Drosophila melanogaster: one gene and its partners. The protein of the gene in region 3 purifies or fractionates together with the protein of the main gene of each other region. This does not show direct contact. Each region holds a gene or a part of one and is shown on either strand. Other genes may lie near its edges. The genes, in order: Zw10, spartin and Rab18.

Region 1 (5,410 bases), 3.1 Mb from region 3:
CGCTAATTAAGGAACTGCTCATCTTGCCGCCCGACAATAGCTCTACACGCAGCTTTTGGATGACGTCCTTCAGCATATTAACCTCCGCCGCATGCGGATCGAGATTGACCACTGGCTTGTTTTTGATTTGCAGTGCTCGATCCGCATAGCGTAGGGTGCTCAATGTCTCGGCCACGTTGTAGTCGGCGGGACTGACGCAAGCAATCATCAGCGTAATGGAATTACCGCCCAGGGAGTCCTGCAGCAGACGCGTCAGCTTGGACTGGCGATAGGGTATGTAGCCAGCGGCCTGGCCAGCTGCAATTTATATGGAATATATAAAAATGGAGATCAATTTTCAAGCCAGTGGCTAAATGATAGATACTCACATCCCAGGGCATTGATCACGTTGCCCAGGGCCAGAAGACCCTTATTGATGTTCACACCCTCTTTGAACCGATCGCCGCTGGCTAGGGTCTTTGAGCAGCGTTCAGAACCAGCCAGATCCACCAGGTTGAACCTGGACGTGGTAACGGATTGCCTATCGGAGATTGGAGGTCAAATGTGTATAAGCATTAAGTATTCTAACGAGGTGATGGCGGCCCACAACATACTTGCCGTCCAGCTTGGTGGCTACTAGCGTCAATGTGAATATGGCATGGGATCTTGAAGAGGTTTCATTCATAGCCGTGGCGGCCACAGCCCGTCCGGCTGAGCCGCGGATCAGATGATCGGTCACTTGCTGGGCGGATGTGACCACTAGCTCGGTGAGGCCCGGCATGATAATACGGTTCTTGACCTCCCTGATGTCTACGGTGGCCTTGTCCCGAGTTTTCGACGAAAAAAGGTCATAGAACTGCTCCTGGTAGAGCTCCACAAAAGAGCATGTGACAGCAAAACGAAATTCGCTCTGCATTTCCGCAATGGCTGTGAATATATCATGAACGGCGCGTGGTATAACGCCCACATGGTCATCTAACACTCCGTTGAAGGCGGTGCCCATAGTGTAGGTCTTTCCGGAACCCGTTTGTCCATATGCCAAGATTGTTACGTTATAGCCATTTAACAGCTTTTTCACTTTGGCCTGTACACACGTCTCGAATAGATCCTTTTGCGAGTCGTCAATGTCGAAGACATAGTTGTACGTATACGACTCATTCCGGTTGACTGTAACCTGTGGCGCTCCATCCGCCGATCGTTCGACGGCAATCCGGCAGCCGCGATCCAACTCGGACTGCACCAAGGGGCGCACGCGCAAGGCCACTGCCACACAGCTGGGATCCTCGCTGGACATCTGGGGGTAGGGGGAGGGAAGGACAATCATAACATTCCATCACCTTTACCGCCATCTCGACCAACACCACCAACCACTTACCTTCTCTGGGGCACAGCAAGTCCGACTTTGGTTAACTGATCAACTGGTTAGCACTTACAAAAACTTAGAATTTTGGTTGGTCTAGATTTTGGAGCAACGCGGCTTCTCCACGCGCAGCCCGGCACTCTCAATGAATTCGATTTTTGGATCAAGGAACTAAACTAATGAAACGCGACGCTAAGAAGCAAATGCATTTCTGCCAGTATTTTTAAAAATGGCGTTGTTATCGATTCGTTGCAGATGTCGATTAGTGGCGCGATCGACGGAGGTGCCGGTGTAGAAAGATTTCGATTTTTTTATAATTTGGCTCTTGAATAGCACATTTGCAAAAATGTGGTTGGACGATTTGTGCACGCCGATTTGACAAAATGAATCATTGACAGTGTATCTACATACTTATACATAAAAATAAAAGCTACCTAGATCTACAACTATTTTAGCTACTGCCAGTGATAAGAGCCCAATTCTTGTCAACTAGCCAATTCGCCGATAGCCGATAGCAGACAGCCGCACATATCTATCGCTTTTTTGAACAATCGTTGGTAGCAACAGGGAATTGCAGAAACCAGTTGTCTTGGGTTTCGCAAGAATTGGAAAAGGAGGATCTGGTCAAAGAGCAGGACATGGAGGAAGAGGCGCCGCGGTTCAATGTGCTGGAGGAGGCGTTCAACGGCAATGGGAACGGGTGCGCCAACGTGGAGGCCACCCAATCGGCCATATTAAAAGTGCTGACGCGCGTTAATCGCTTCCAGATGCGCGTCCGCAAGCACATCGAAGACAACTACACGGAGTTTTTGCCCAACAACACGTCGCCGGACATATTTCTGGAGGAGTCGGGGTCCTTGAATCGCGAGATTCACGACATGCTCGAGAACTTGGGTTCCGAGGGACTGGACGCCTTGGACGAGGCGAATGTCAAGATGGCGGGTAACGGCAGGCAGCTGCGAGAGATCCTTTTGGGTCTGGGTGTCAGCGAGCATGTGCTAAGGATCGACGAGCTGTTCCAGTGCGTGGAGGAGGCCAAGGCCACCAAGGATTACTTGGTGTTACTGGACCTTGTCGGTCGTTTGAGGGCTTTCATCTATGGCGATGATTCCGTTGACGGGGACGCGCAGGTGGCCACGCCAGAGGTTCGACGCATCTTTAAGGCTCTCGAGTGCTACGAGACCATCAAGGTGAAATACCATGTACAGGCATATATGCTGCAGCAGAGCCTCCAGGAGCGCTTCGATCGCCTGGTGCAGCTGCAGTGCAAATCCTTTCCCACATCGCGTTGCGTCACCTTGCAGGTGAGCCGGGATCAAACGCAGCTGCAGGATATTGTGCAGGCTCTCTTCCAGGAGCCCTACAATCCGGCGCGCCTCTGCGAATTCCTGCTGGACAATTGCATAGAACCGGTGATCATGCGCCCAGTGATGGCCGATTACAGCGAAGAAGCCGATGGTGGCACCTACGTTCGATTGTCGCTTTCCTACGCCACCAAGGAGCCCAGCTCAGCGCAGCTTCGCCCGAACTACAAGCAGGTCTTGGAGAACCTCAGGCTGCTGCTGCACACGCTGGCCGGGATCAACTGCAGTGTGTCCAGGGACCAACATGTTTTTGGCATTATTGGCGATCATGTGAAGGATAAAATGCTGAAATTACTGGTGGACGAGTGCCTGATACCAGCTGTGCCCGAAAGCACGGAGGAGTATCAGACATCCACGCTGTGTGAGGATGTCGCCCAGCTGGAGCAGCTGCTTGTAGACTCATTCATCATCAATCCCGAGCAAGATCGAGCCCTAGGGCAGTTTGTAGAGAAGTACGAGACCTACTACCGCAATCGGATGTATCGTCGAGTTCTGGAAACGGCGCGGGAGATCATCCAGCGCGATCTGCAGGACATGGTGCTGGTGGCGCCCAACAACCACTCAGCCGAAGTGGCAAACGATCCCTTCCTCTTCCCACGCTGCATGATCTCGAAAAGTGCTCAGGTAAGTCGTTCGCTAAACGAAACGATTGATTACGCACTAATGGATTCATTTTCGCCGGCAGGACTTTGTCAAACTAATGGACCGCATTCTTCGCCAGCCCACGGATAAACTGGGCGACCAAGAGGCCGATCCCATAGCCGGCGTCATTTCCATCATGCTGCACACCTACATCAATGAGGTGCCCAAGGTGCACCGCAAGCTGCTCGAGAGCATTCCACAGCAGGCCGTCCTGTTCCACAACAATTGTATGTTCTTCACACACTGGGTAGCGCAGCATGCGAACAAGGGCATCGAAAGCTTGGCGGCGCTGGCCAAGACACTGCAGGCCACCGGTCAGCAGCATTTCCGCGTGCAGGTCGACTACCAATCCTCCATCCTGATGGGCATCATGCAGGAGTTCGAGTTCGAGAGCACGCACACGCTGGGCTCTGGTCCACTGAAGCTGGTGCGTCAGTGCCTTCGCCAGCTGGAGCTGCTGAAGAACGTGTGGGCCAATGTGCTCCCGGAGACCGTGTACAATGCAACCTTCTGCGAGCTAATCAACACATTTGTCGCCGAGCTAATCCGTCGAGTGTTCACGCTGCGCGACATTTCCGCACAGATGGCCTGTGAGCTGAGCGATCTCATTGACGTGGTGCTCCAGCGGGCGCCCACGCTTTTCCGCGAACCAAACGAGGTGGTCCAGGTGCTCTCTTGGCTTAAGCTGCAGCAACTGAAGGCCATGCTGAACGCGTCGCTCATGGAGATCACAGAGCTGTGGGGCGACGGCGTCGGCCCGCTGACCGCCAGCTACAAGTCGGATGAGATAAAGCACCTAATCAGGGCGTTGTTCCAGGATACGGATTGGCGGGCCAAGGCCATTACGCAGATTGTATAGGGCGCGTGCGCCTTTTTTGCGAGCGAGGAATGTTGAACGGCGGATAGACATCACATTTGAGGTGGTAAACGGAGTCTAAATTTGATGATCACCATCAATGTGTCCTTACTTTAATTCCTTGAATTGTTTACCACAAATGCCAAAAGTAATAGAATTTGATAATCTTTAATTCTCCGAATGGTTTCTGTTGTACATAGAAAAGTAATTATCCACAAAAATCCATTCCATTCTTCCCGCAACGCAACACAATATTTAACTTAAGACTTATTTAAATGAATAAAAACAACTAAATCCCATTAGTGCGCCTCTTGTCGCGCTTGTAGAACGAGCATGTATAGCTGCTCAGTAAGCAGTCTGTGATCTCGGCCGTGGGTGACGGTTAGGATGCGTTGGGCCTCCTCCAGATGGTGCAGTGCCTCCTTGGAATGGCCCTCGTAGAGCTGAATCTTGCCCAGCTTCATGTGAAGCAGGCCCAATAGCGGATTCCAGGGTCCGTGGTATTTTCGAAAGCCTGGCAGCAAACGTTGCCCGTAATCCAGGGCGTCGCTCCACTTGCCCACTTCGATGGCTGCTTCGAAGGCCGCATCGAGCGTCTTGACGTACCACACATTCAGGGGATGGAACACGCCAGTCTGCTTGTCCAGACACACCTTGCACACATCGAGATCTGTGATCGAGAGAGTGAAAATGTGCTTATTATGGAGCTAATTCCATTTCGTCGCATCTACTCACAGGCCACGTCCTTCATGTTCTCCAGATTGTGCCGGGTCAGAGTCATCGCCTCGTTGAAGGCATTTCTCAACTTGGGACTGATGCCGGCATCGCATCGCGGGCAATTATTGCGGTCCACACTGATTCCCGCACCGCAGTTGCGATTGGGACACAGGGCAGCCAGCATCTCCTTCGATTCCTTGGCATCCGTGCACTTGCTGCACACGCATAGGAAGTAGTAGTGCTCCTTGAGGTCCAGACGCCTCTGCTCCGGCGTATTGAGCAGGTCGATGTAGCTGATGAAGATTTTCGACCAGTCCAGGCATTCCATGTCCTCGATCGCGTGGACGTGCAGCTCGTTGCCCTCGAAGGTGGCGACCGCATTTGGCTGGCAGCTATGGTCCGTAATCGAGACGCCCAGATATATGGCCGTGGCAATTGAGTTCATCTCGGCGTCCAAGATATTGAAGCCATTGGTGATCAGCTGCAAAGAGC
Region 2 (5,806 bases), on a different chromosome or scaffold from region 3:
GAGGGCATGTGGATGTTCATTTGTCCGGAGCTGCTCAAGGTAATCGTCACGGAACCGGAGCCAGACGTGCAGTCGGAGCTGCTGAATTCGCTGGCAAAATGCATTGAGACATTGGGTCCGAATTGCCTTAACGAGGATGCCATGAAACAAGTTCTCGAGATTATAAACAAGTATGTTCTGGAGCATTTCGAGCGTGCTGACAAGCGTTTGGCGGCTCGCAATGAGGAAGACTACGACGACGGTGTGGAGGAGGAGCTGGCCGAGCAGGACGACACAGATGTTTACATCCTTTCCAAAATCGTGGACATTACACACGCCCTTTTCCAGACCAACAAGGCTCAGTTCTTACCCGCCTTTGAACAGGTGGCTCCGCACTTTGTCAAGCTACTGGAGCCCAGCCGACCTGTAGCTGATCGGCAGTGGGGCTTATGCGTGTTCGATGATCTGATCGGTGAGTTGGTTTTCTTAATTGAGTTTTGCAGTTCAATAGTACCGCCGATACCTTCAAACATCAAATCATTTGTGCCACCATAAAACTAAAGACTTGTATTCTCATTTACCTACAGAATTTTGTGGCCCCGCTTGTGCTCCATACCAGCAGATCTTTACGCCAGCCCTCGTCCAGTACGTGTGCGATAAGGCCCCAGAAGTGCGCCAGGCGGCTGCCTACGGATGCGGGGTGCTCGGCCAATTCGCTGGTGAGCAGTTTGCGCATACATGCGCCCAGATCATTCCACTGCTGGTGCAGGTCATCAACGATCCCAAAGCCCGCGAAATCGAGAACATCAGTCCGACAGAGAATGCGATCTCGGCGTTTGCTAAGATCCTCAAGTACAACAACTCGGCGCTGAGCAACGTGGACGAGCTGATCGGTGTTTGGTTCTCATGGCTGCCGGTGTCCGAGGATTCGGAAGAAGCCGCCCACATCTATGGCTACCTATGCGACTTGATTGAAGGCAACCATCCGGTCATTCTTGGGGCAAACAACGGCAATCTGCCGCGCATTGTCTCCATCATCGCTGAATCCTTCTGCACCAAGGTGGTTGAGGCGCAGTCCGCCACCGGCACTCGTATGCTCACTATCGTCAAACAAGTGGAATCGAATCCGGAGGTAATGGCTGCTTGTGCCAGCACCTTGAGCCCGGAACAGCAGCAGGCGCTGCAGGATGCCTACCGGGAGCTGGCAAACGTGGCTCCCGCCTAAGATATCGCAATCCCAATCCTCTTCAGACCAAGTCCATTCATGTCGACCAAGCCAAGAAAGGAACGATGGATGCTTCAGCTACTCGTTATCATTATTTTTCATCTTACCGAAATTTTGAAGTATATGTTTAACACATAGATATCCATTTATACAGATATACATTTATGTGTACAATAGAGTTATCCGGGTATATAATTCTATACATATTGTGATTTTAATCAAAACTCTTCTCCCGAAGACAAAAGTCTGCCTCGTTAGAATTTGATATGTTGTATGGATGCGATCCAAATGCCATCCCAATCACACCCAAATTCCAATAGAATATTTTCGTTACTCAAATTTTCATATGTTTAATACATATGTGTGTATATACGGCCCTAACGGCCGCCTCTCCCTGCGGGGAAAACAGGATGTAAACGTTGTCCGAATCGAACGAAATATAATTTTGTGCATTCAAACCAGGATCGACAAATATATTTAAAGGAATAACATTTATTGTATTTTAAACATGATAAAAACGAAATAAATAACAAGTAAATCGATATTTTAATTGCCACGAGCTTATGTTTTAGTATTGCTTTTTATTATTAACCATTCATTCAATTTCAAATTCGATTCCCGCAAAAGACTTTTCAAAAGTCGTTGTGGCAACTCTGTCTGTGGCAGTGAACATGCAGAGGCCTCCTAAACAGCTGATCTGATTCGCAATGGAAAGTAAGCAAATCAAAACAAAGATGGAAAAACTTGGAACATTCAACTCGAATGGAAAACACACATTTTAACATGTTATTTACGAATTTAAGTGATATTAGGCAAACGATATTCTCACTTTAAAGGTGTGCGACTAAACAGGAGCAGAAAATAATTCGTAAAATTAGTGAGAAAATAGCGAAAGAGAGCGTTTCTCTGTTTGCTTTCTAAATCATTAGGTGACTTGGTGGGCAAAGTGCAGATTAAACGCTCAGAATCAGACGAAACCAAAACCCAAAGGTGAGTGAGTGCAACAGGTAGACGGTGAGTGCAGCGGAAGGGCGGATGCGGTTTCGTTGGCCACAGTTCAATTTAGAGCAGCTGCAGGAGAAGATGTAAAAGCGCGTCATTCCCACTTTGGTGACGCATTTTGGTCACCCTTTTAGTTGGTCGCGGTTGCCCGCCTCGTCGGGATGTATCTCTGCCAGCAAGTTCGTTTACAATATCTTAAATCTCACGAATATTAACAAAATATGTAGTAATTTGCACTATAAGACTTACACAGAACTTTGCGAAAGGGGGATTCATAAGAATAAAGACAGCACATAGAACATGTATACTAACTAAACCATAAATAACCATAGTCATTGACTTTAATAGATTCTTAGTTCTACATACTAAAGTTTTGAGGGCTTTGGTTTTTTGTATAGTATCTAATGTTTCTGTGCTGTTTCTTAGGTATTAAAGGCCGCGATGGCGGAGGAGGAAAGCGAATTCCTGGAGGCCTATGCTGGCATCAGAACAGCCTACAAAGCGGCCATGACTCAGGTGGACCTGGCCGTAAGTCACGAGGAGCAGGAATCCCCCGGCCAGGCCATTGTGGCCTATGAGCTGGCCCTGCGTATGATAGAGGACACCTTCGGCATTCCAGTAGGTCTTCCCAACAAGATCGACACCGTGCAGGCGGAGTGGAACGACGCCTGTGCGCTGATCCAAAAGCTCAAGAGCGCCGAAACGGAATTGAGATACCGCCTCAAAGTTCTGCGATCCCAGAAACAATCCATTGATGATTCAGCCGTGGAGGCCACGGAGGAAAGTCGAGCAGAGATGGATACAAAAAGGCCGCCGTTGCTGGCGGAAAACCCCTCCACGCAATATGGCATAGCCAATGCTAGCGGAGCACCAAAAACCTACAGAGAGCTCGCTGCCGGCTTGCGGGAGCTCTTGGCTGTTCGGGACGCCAAAGTCTTGCTCGATGAGCTCTTCCGTGCACAGGTCAAAATGTACCGAATCGAAGCCAGTGGATCAGTAACCACCATAAGCGGCTCGTCAACTATGTCATTGGTAATGTGCACCGTGGGTGGCAAATGGAAGTACCTCAGTGGCATCTACTTCATTCAGTGCTCCATGCCAAATGAGGGGACTGCAGGGATTTGGCTTTACCCCCTGGTTCCCTCGATCACAAACTGCTACCAAACAGAGTACGGAGCCTTTATTTTTCCTGATATGGAGTGCCAGCAGCCGGGCAATGCATTTGGTTTGATGCTAACGAAGGAGGGCCAGACATCGCGCACGGAGGACGAACTGGAGGATCTTCAGCAGTTCTTTCTTGACCTGTTGGAGGCCGTACTCGCTGGCACGGTAGTGCAGCTGAAATCGCCGACCTCCCAACGTGCTGGCCTAGCTTCAGATACCGTTTCCGGGTCGGAGCAGGTGTCCAGACACATTGTAAGTGCGGCTGATTTCATTGCTAGTAACCTGGTACGGGGCGCCGAGAAGACAGGAGGCTTTATGCTTAGGAGTACTCCGTATATCATTTCCAAGATGACGCCAGCCTCGATGGATGCTCAGGTGCCCAGCTCCGTCCAAACTTCAGGTGAGTTAGTTCCAAATAGGGAAGAGCTGTATTTAGGGCGGAAGTATGGTAGCTTCCGAATGAGCATGTAACGATAAAATTAGAAGATAAGATTCGAAGTCGAAGATGTGATCGTCACTACACTTCCACCTCGATCGGAGTTTGTGCTTGTGTTTGATAATCATGTTAATCAATGGTTTGGAAATGTGCAGATTACATATAAGATAGATCTAATGTATCTTATGTTGTAACCTTTTGTTCATTATAGTTGAGGTGGCCCAAAAAGTGACGCACGCCGCAGCCGGAATGACAGGATGGATAGCTGGAAAGGTGGGCACTGCTTCAATGGCAGTCGGCCGCTACCTGGCTCCCCACATTCAGGAGCAAGGCTCTAAACTGCTGCAGAAGGGATTTGGCTACGACACCAGCGAGGCTAATAGCACCATGGAGGGCGCCATGACCATCGCGGCAGGAGCCGTGGAAGGAGTGAGCACCGTATTCGATGGCCTCGAGACTTCCGCCAAGATCCTAGGCTCCAGCCTCAGTGAAAACTCCGTCAAGATAATCGAACACAAGTGGGTTGGCTTTGGCTTCTTAATGCTTATGCAGTTTTGTAACAGATGTCATTACGAATTTTCGTCCGAATTGAAAGTAATCACTTAGGCTGGCAACGGTTTATTCAATTTAAATATATCTGAGATTTAAGTTATGCGCAATGTGCAGAGGATCGCAAAAATGATCAAGGATCGGGAAATGTTACTCAAGCTTGCACACAAAGAAAAGTTTTATAACTTGTTGTGAATCGTCTCAAATATGTAATGCTACTAAAGGTCTACTAAGATCTAGATATTCATTTTGGGTTTCTTTCGCCTTCGAAAAAGAAAAACATATAGTGCGGGCATTTTTAATATTTCATATATTTACATATATTTATTTGCTATTTCAGATATGGCCAGCAGACGGGGAATCTGGCTAGTGGCACCTTTGACACGGTGGGCAACGTTTTCGTGGTCAGTCAGAACGTGAACTACATAACCCCGAAGGGCATTGCCAAGAAAATGGTCAAACGAACAGGAGAAGCTGTGGTCAGTGACTACAAGCGAGACTTACGCAAATCGGAATCTCATTATATTAATGCCGGATCTCTTTATCCGGATCTTCGAGCTTTGAAGGAATAGCGGGAAAACCAAAGGAATTTATCACATGTTATTATTATTATTATTATTATTATTATTATTATTATTATTATTATTATTATTATTATTATTATTATTATATTGAAATATTTATATGCCATTTATAGCTTCTAATTAAAAGAAAAAATATAAATAAATATTATGTTCAATAACACATAAAAAAGATATTTCGAAAGATTTTGCATCAAAACCTTATTTTAGTGTTCAAAAATGCTTTACTTTTGTATTTGTAGATAAACCGAAGCTAGAAAGTATTAAAAAGAAAAATGTTTAATTCACTTTGTATATTTGTATAACCTAAATTCTAGCTTCCTAGCACTCCAACCGCTAAGTATCGGGTATCTTTTGTTTTTAAATTAAAATGTCCTGATTTTTGATACACAACTCAGTCCTCTTTCACTAATTTAAAAGAATTAACAATTTTAGCAAGGAATTTAGTATGAACGTACCATGTAAATTGTGAACAAATGTTGATCTAAGTATCTTTAGATTGACGATCAATAAAAAGCCGTCTAATTTAGCGGCTTTAAATCCTCGTAAGTACTGTCATAGCTTCCGATCGCCTGAAGTTACAGACTTTTGAATCTTATATTGTTGAAAAGGTTATGTTATTTGCATTATTTCCTAACCATTTCCTAAGACTCTATATAGCTATCTTATTCCTTATTCTTTTTTCCTATCTTAAAAAGCACTCTGATCAAGCAAAAACTTTGCGGAACGAGTCAAATTTTATATAAACAAGTTAGGAATTTATATAACGAGCGATGAACCCCACATATATACTTTGGCGAAATATGGTAAAACTTCACGTTTTGTTTTATACACGAGATATAGAATGTGATATTCTATAGGTCCTAAGTG
Region 3 (3,692 bases):
TAATTTCCATGAACCCATGGCCAAAGCCATGTGCCACTCGCGTTTTTTCGGTCACAAAATCAAACACGCATCGCTATTTTCACTTTAAAAAAAAGATTTTATTTAGTTTTTCTTCTTCATTGTACCGAAGAACCCTTAACGCGCACTATAGACAGTCGGAGTATCTGGATGCATTCTAGGCCTTGACGGCGAACTTCCTCTGGGGGAAGACGGAGCGCTTGCGGATCTCCTTGAGGGTCTTGCGGTTGGCGTCGCGCGGAGACAGGGCCTTGCGGATAGCGCGGGTCTTCTTCTTGCGCAGATCCAGGGGCTTGTACTTCTTGTTCTTGAAGACCTTGCGCAGATTCTCCTTCTGCTTCTGGTGCATCACAATGTAGACGCGAGCGATGGCCTTGCGGACAACGCGGCTGTATGGATAAGAACGCACATAAATGCACAAAACACCGGAATTAGTTCGTGACGCTTGTCGTTGTGCCGCGGCATACTCACATCTTGGAGAGCTTGGAGGGAGCTCCGCCGGTCACCTTGGCCACGCGCAGGCTGAGCAACTCATTCTTGAGCTCATCCAATTGCTTGGTGAGTTCCTTCTTGTCCTTGATCCTCAGCTCGGAGCACTTAACCTTCACCTGGACGGGAGCACAAACAAACGGGCAGAAAACAAGAACATTAGTATCGCTGCACTGCAAATGGCATGTTCATTGGCCCTTGGGCTGAGAGCATCGGGTGTCGATGGGTGTAACCAACCAACCATTTTTCTAGCTCTGCTCTTTAACACTCAGCACAGAACAAAAAAACCAACGAATTTTCCGTATTCACTAAACCAGCAAATTAAGAAATTCAGCACGTGGCTTAACGCAACCTCTCCGGAAACGCGGCGAAAAGAAAAGGAAAGAAGAAGAAGCAGAGGTGCTAGGGGTGAGCACAAAATAGTGTGCTAGCGTTGCGCGTCTCAACTAGCGTGGTACTGCATTATTAATCGCATTTTGTGTTAACACCATGAACGGCAGTAATTTGGGGCGCGTTTTAGCCATTACTTTGGCTTTTAATTGTTCGTTTCGTTGTAAAATAGGTTAGAAATCTTTTCGCTCACAAAATACCAACCATTTTTCTCGCTGGTCACGTCAAAAAAGAAAGATGGGACTTGGAGGAAAGAACTAGTTGGTGGTGGCACTATTGTAACTTCGAGCGTCGAACCAGTGGCAACGCTGATATCGAACCGGTTCCGAGTCCGTCATTAAAATAGATAAATCAAATTACTACGATTGCAAAAATATTCAATCACAATATTTACTTTTTTATTTTGCTAATGCCAATGAAAAGCTAAATAATACCATTTTAGAGAGCTATAAAATTAAGACATTACGCGTTTCGGAATTATTTTTCGAGGAAAATTATTTCTTATATAATTTAAACGTTTATATAAAATAATTATAACACCAACTATTTTGAGCGCAGAAGGAATCCTAAATTTATGATATTTTATAATTATTTTTTATAATTAATTTTTTTTTTTTAATTAATTTTTATACAACAATATAAGGAACGCACTGTTACCTATGTGGCAACAAAATTTGATCTGCTTAACGTGTTTTAGTTTTCATTGCGCGTTTATTATGGTAGTAACAACAGAATTATTTTTTTAAATATAGTTAGTCCTCCTAAGTCAAGACCCGATCGGTTTTGTTAAAAGGGTGGAATTAAATTATTTTAAGAAGCTAAATGTGTGTGCAAAAAAGTAGCCAGATTACGGCCACAGGTCACCACTAGATCGAAGTGGCGGTCTGGCAAGGCTGCTGTTACAGTGGTCCATCTCTATCGTGAGAATGTAAACAAAGCAGCAAGGTGGCAACGCCGCACTCACTTACTCCAGATAATCTACATAAATAATACAATTGGCAATATTCTTATCGTTTTAAGTAAATAACAGTAGTGATAAGCATTAAGCGGAGCTCAAACCACACAATGGCTGATCGGGCTATCAAGCTGCTGGTGATCGGGGAAAGCGGCGTGGGCAAGTCCAGGTGCAGTCCCAAGTCCATGGAGCAATTCCACTGCGTATATTACCAAAAGCTTGCATCACTCATCAACTTTCATTATCATTTCATCATAGTTTGATACGTCGCTTCGTGGAGAACAAGTTCGACCAGAACCATGACGTCACGATTGGCATGGACTTCAAGAGCAAAGTGATGCAGGTGGACGGCATAGACTACAAGGTGGCCCTGTGGGATACGGCGGGCGCCGAGAGATTCCGCAGCCTGACGCCCAGTTTCTATCGGAAGGCTCTGGGCGCCATTCTAGTGTACGACATCACCAGCAGGGACAGCCTGGTCAAGCTGGAAACCTGGCTGGCTGAACTGGATAGCTACAGCGACAATCCCAACATTGCCATCATTGTGGTAGGCAACAAGATCGACGAGGAGCGAGTTGTGGATCGCGAGGAGGGTCGAAAGTTTGCCAGGAAGCACAGGGCGCTCTTCATCGAGACCTCAGCCAAATGCGATCAGTTCGTCAGCGATGTGTTCAAAGATGTGGTGGAGAAGGTGAGCTAGCTACCAACCAAATACTTGGCATTCGTGTTTCCAATTATCCACATCCGCTTTGCAGATCGTCTCCTCCGAATACTTCAACAATGGCAATGCCTCCGCCGGTCTGGACATCGCCAGCGATCGGGATCTGGAGGCAAGCGCGTCTACGTGTTACTGTTGATTTCGAATGTTATGCGTGCTTTTGTCAAATTTATATCGTGTATTTATTTAATCGTTTCAATATCACTAGCATAAAGTCAATCAACCTTAACGTTCAATCGTGTACTCCAATCTGAGCAGGGCTATCGATTCACTTAGCTTGCAGGGTTTGCAGATCAGTCAGAATCCTTTTTAAATTCTATCCTTCTAATATTCCTGTACGGCTTATTGTCCATCTGCTTGCATTTCGTCTGCGACCAGTCAAAAGTCAAGTTCAGCATTTTCTTTTCATTATTTTATTGACATGATGATAGTTTTCCATTTGCGTTCACAAACGCAACAAATAAAGTGGAGAATTGGATTAGTGACCAACTGAAATGTACATGGGCTATGCGATTTTTTTTATTTCTATTGCATCTGGTGGTGTAAATTTATAAGTGAGTTCGGTTTATATTTACAATTATCGATGATTAATATTTATTAATTAACGCTAACAAGGTGGATTTAGAAATCAATGAAGCTGTTCTTCACGATTGGCTCGCTCGCTATTCATCAATTTCTTGTAAATCCCTTGCACGCGACGGATGCTTAGAAAACAAAGCTGGACATTTGGCCGCAACAATTCCCGGAGCACGCCCCTTATGTACATTTTTGTAATCGCATAGGTTCCGTAAGAGTAACTTAGAATCTAACTTCACGCTGTTGCTCCTCCATCGATACCTCGGATCCGCACCTGCTCCCGCCCAGTTCCCCAGTGATGCGCACGACGGGCATCTCTCCCATCTCCTTACTACTTCCCCGCAAGGCCGCTCTTCTTGGCGTCCAGTTCGTAAATGAGCAGACGCCACATCTTCACCACAAAGACCTCGGCTTCCTCGTCGAGTACCTGAAGATTTGAAACATTGAAACAGAGCGAGAGGGATAGAGTTTGGATTAGTTCATAGAATGGTAGTGGTTATCGTATCGTATCGTATCGCTTCAAACTACTCACCATTTGCACATCAT

Evidence for each region.
Region 1: the proteins of Rab18 (region 3) and Zw10 purify together in Drosophila melanogaster (affinity purification with western blotting; one study listed by BioGRID). This does not show direct contact.
Region 2: the proteins of Rab18 (region 3) and spartin purify together in Drosophila melanogaster (affinity purification with western blotting; one study listed by BioGRID). This does not show direct contact.

The regions. Positions count from the first base shown.
Region 1 is NC_004354.4:2,602,326-2,607,735, forward strand, and holds Zw10 (Zeste-white 10), read left to right. Parts: upstream 1-1,871; 5' UTR 1,872-1,977; coding exon 1,978-3,327; intron 3,328-3,388; coding exon 3,389-4,204; 3' UTR 4,205-4,499; downstream 4,500-5,410. Other genes in the region: Klp3A (Kinesin-like protein at 3A), read right to left, coding at 1-297, 369-520, 594-1,273; Smyd3 (SET and MYND domain containing, class 3), read right to left, coding at 4,501-4,871, 4,937-5,399. UniProt on the Drosophila melanogaster protein: Essential component of the mitotic checkpoint, which prevents cells from prematurely exiting mitosis. Required for the assembly of the dynein-dynactin, Mad2 complexes and spindly/CG15415 onto kinetochores.
Region 2 is NT_033777.3:4,652,886-4,658,691, forward strand, and holds spartin (spartin), read left to right. Parts: upstream 1-1,914; 5' UTR 1,915-2,194; intron 2,195-2,273; exon of another isoform or gene 2,274-2,385; intron 2,386-2,632; 5' UTR 2,633-2,647; coding exon 2,648-3,770; intron 3,771-4,017; coding exon 4,018-4,324; intron 4,325-4,695; coding exon 4,696-4,927; 3' UTR 4,928-5,100; downstream 5,101-5,806. Other genes in the region: Karybeta3 (karyopherin beta 3), read left to right, coding at 1-451, 567-1,204. UniProt on the Drosophila melanogaster protein: During postembryonic development, functions with endocytic adapter Eps-15 in neurons to restrain synaptic growth, by inhibiting BMP signaling, and to control synaptic endocytosis. Required presynaptically for neuromuscular junction (NMJ) neurotransmission.
Region 3 is NC_004354.4:5,669,932-5,673,623, reverse strand, and holds Rab18 (Rab18), read left to right. Parts: upstream 1-1,811; 5' UTR 1,812-1,962; coding exon 1,963-2,021; intron 2,022-2,110; coding exon 2,111-2,543; intron 2,544-2,607; coding exon 2,608-2,709; 3' UTR 2,710-2,797; downstream 2,798-3,692. Other genes in the region: RpL35 (ribosomal protein L35), read right to left, coding at 176-407, 490-626, 1,102-1,104; CG4119 (uncharacterized protein), read right to left, coding at 3,478-3,573, 3,679-3,692.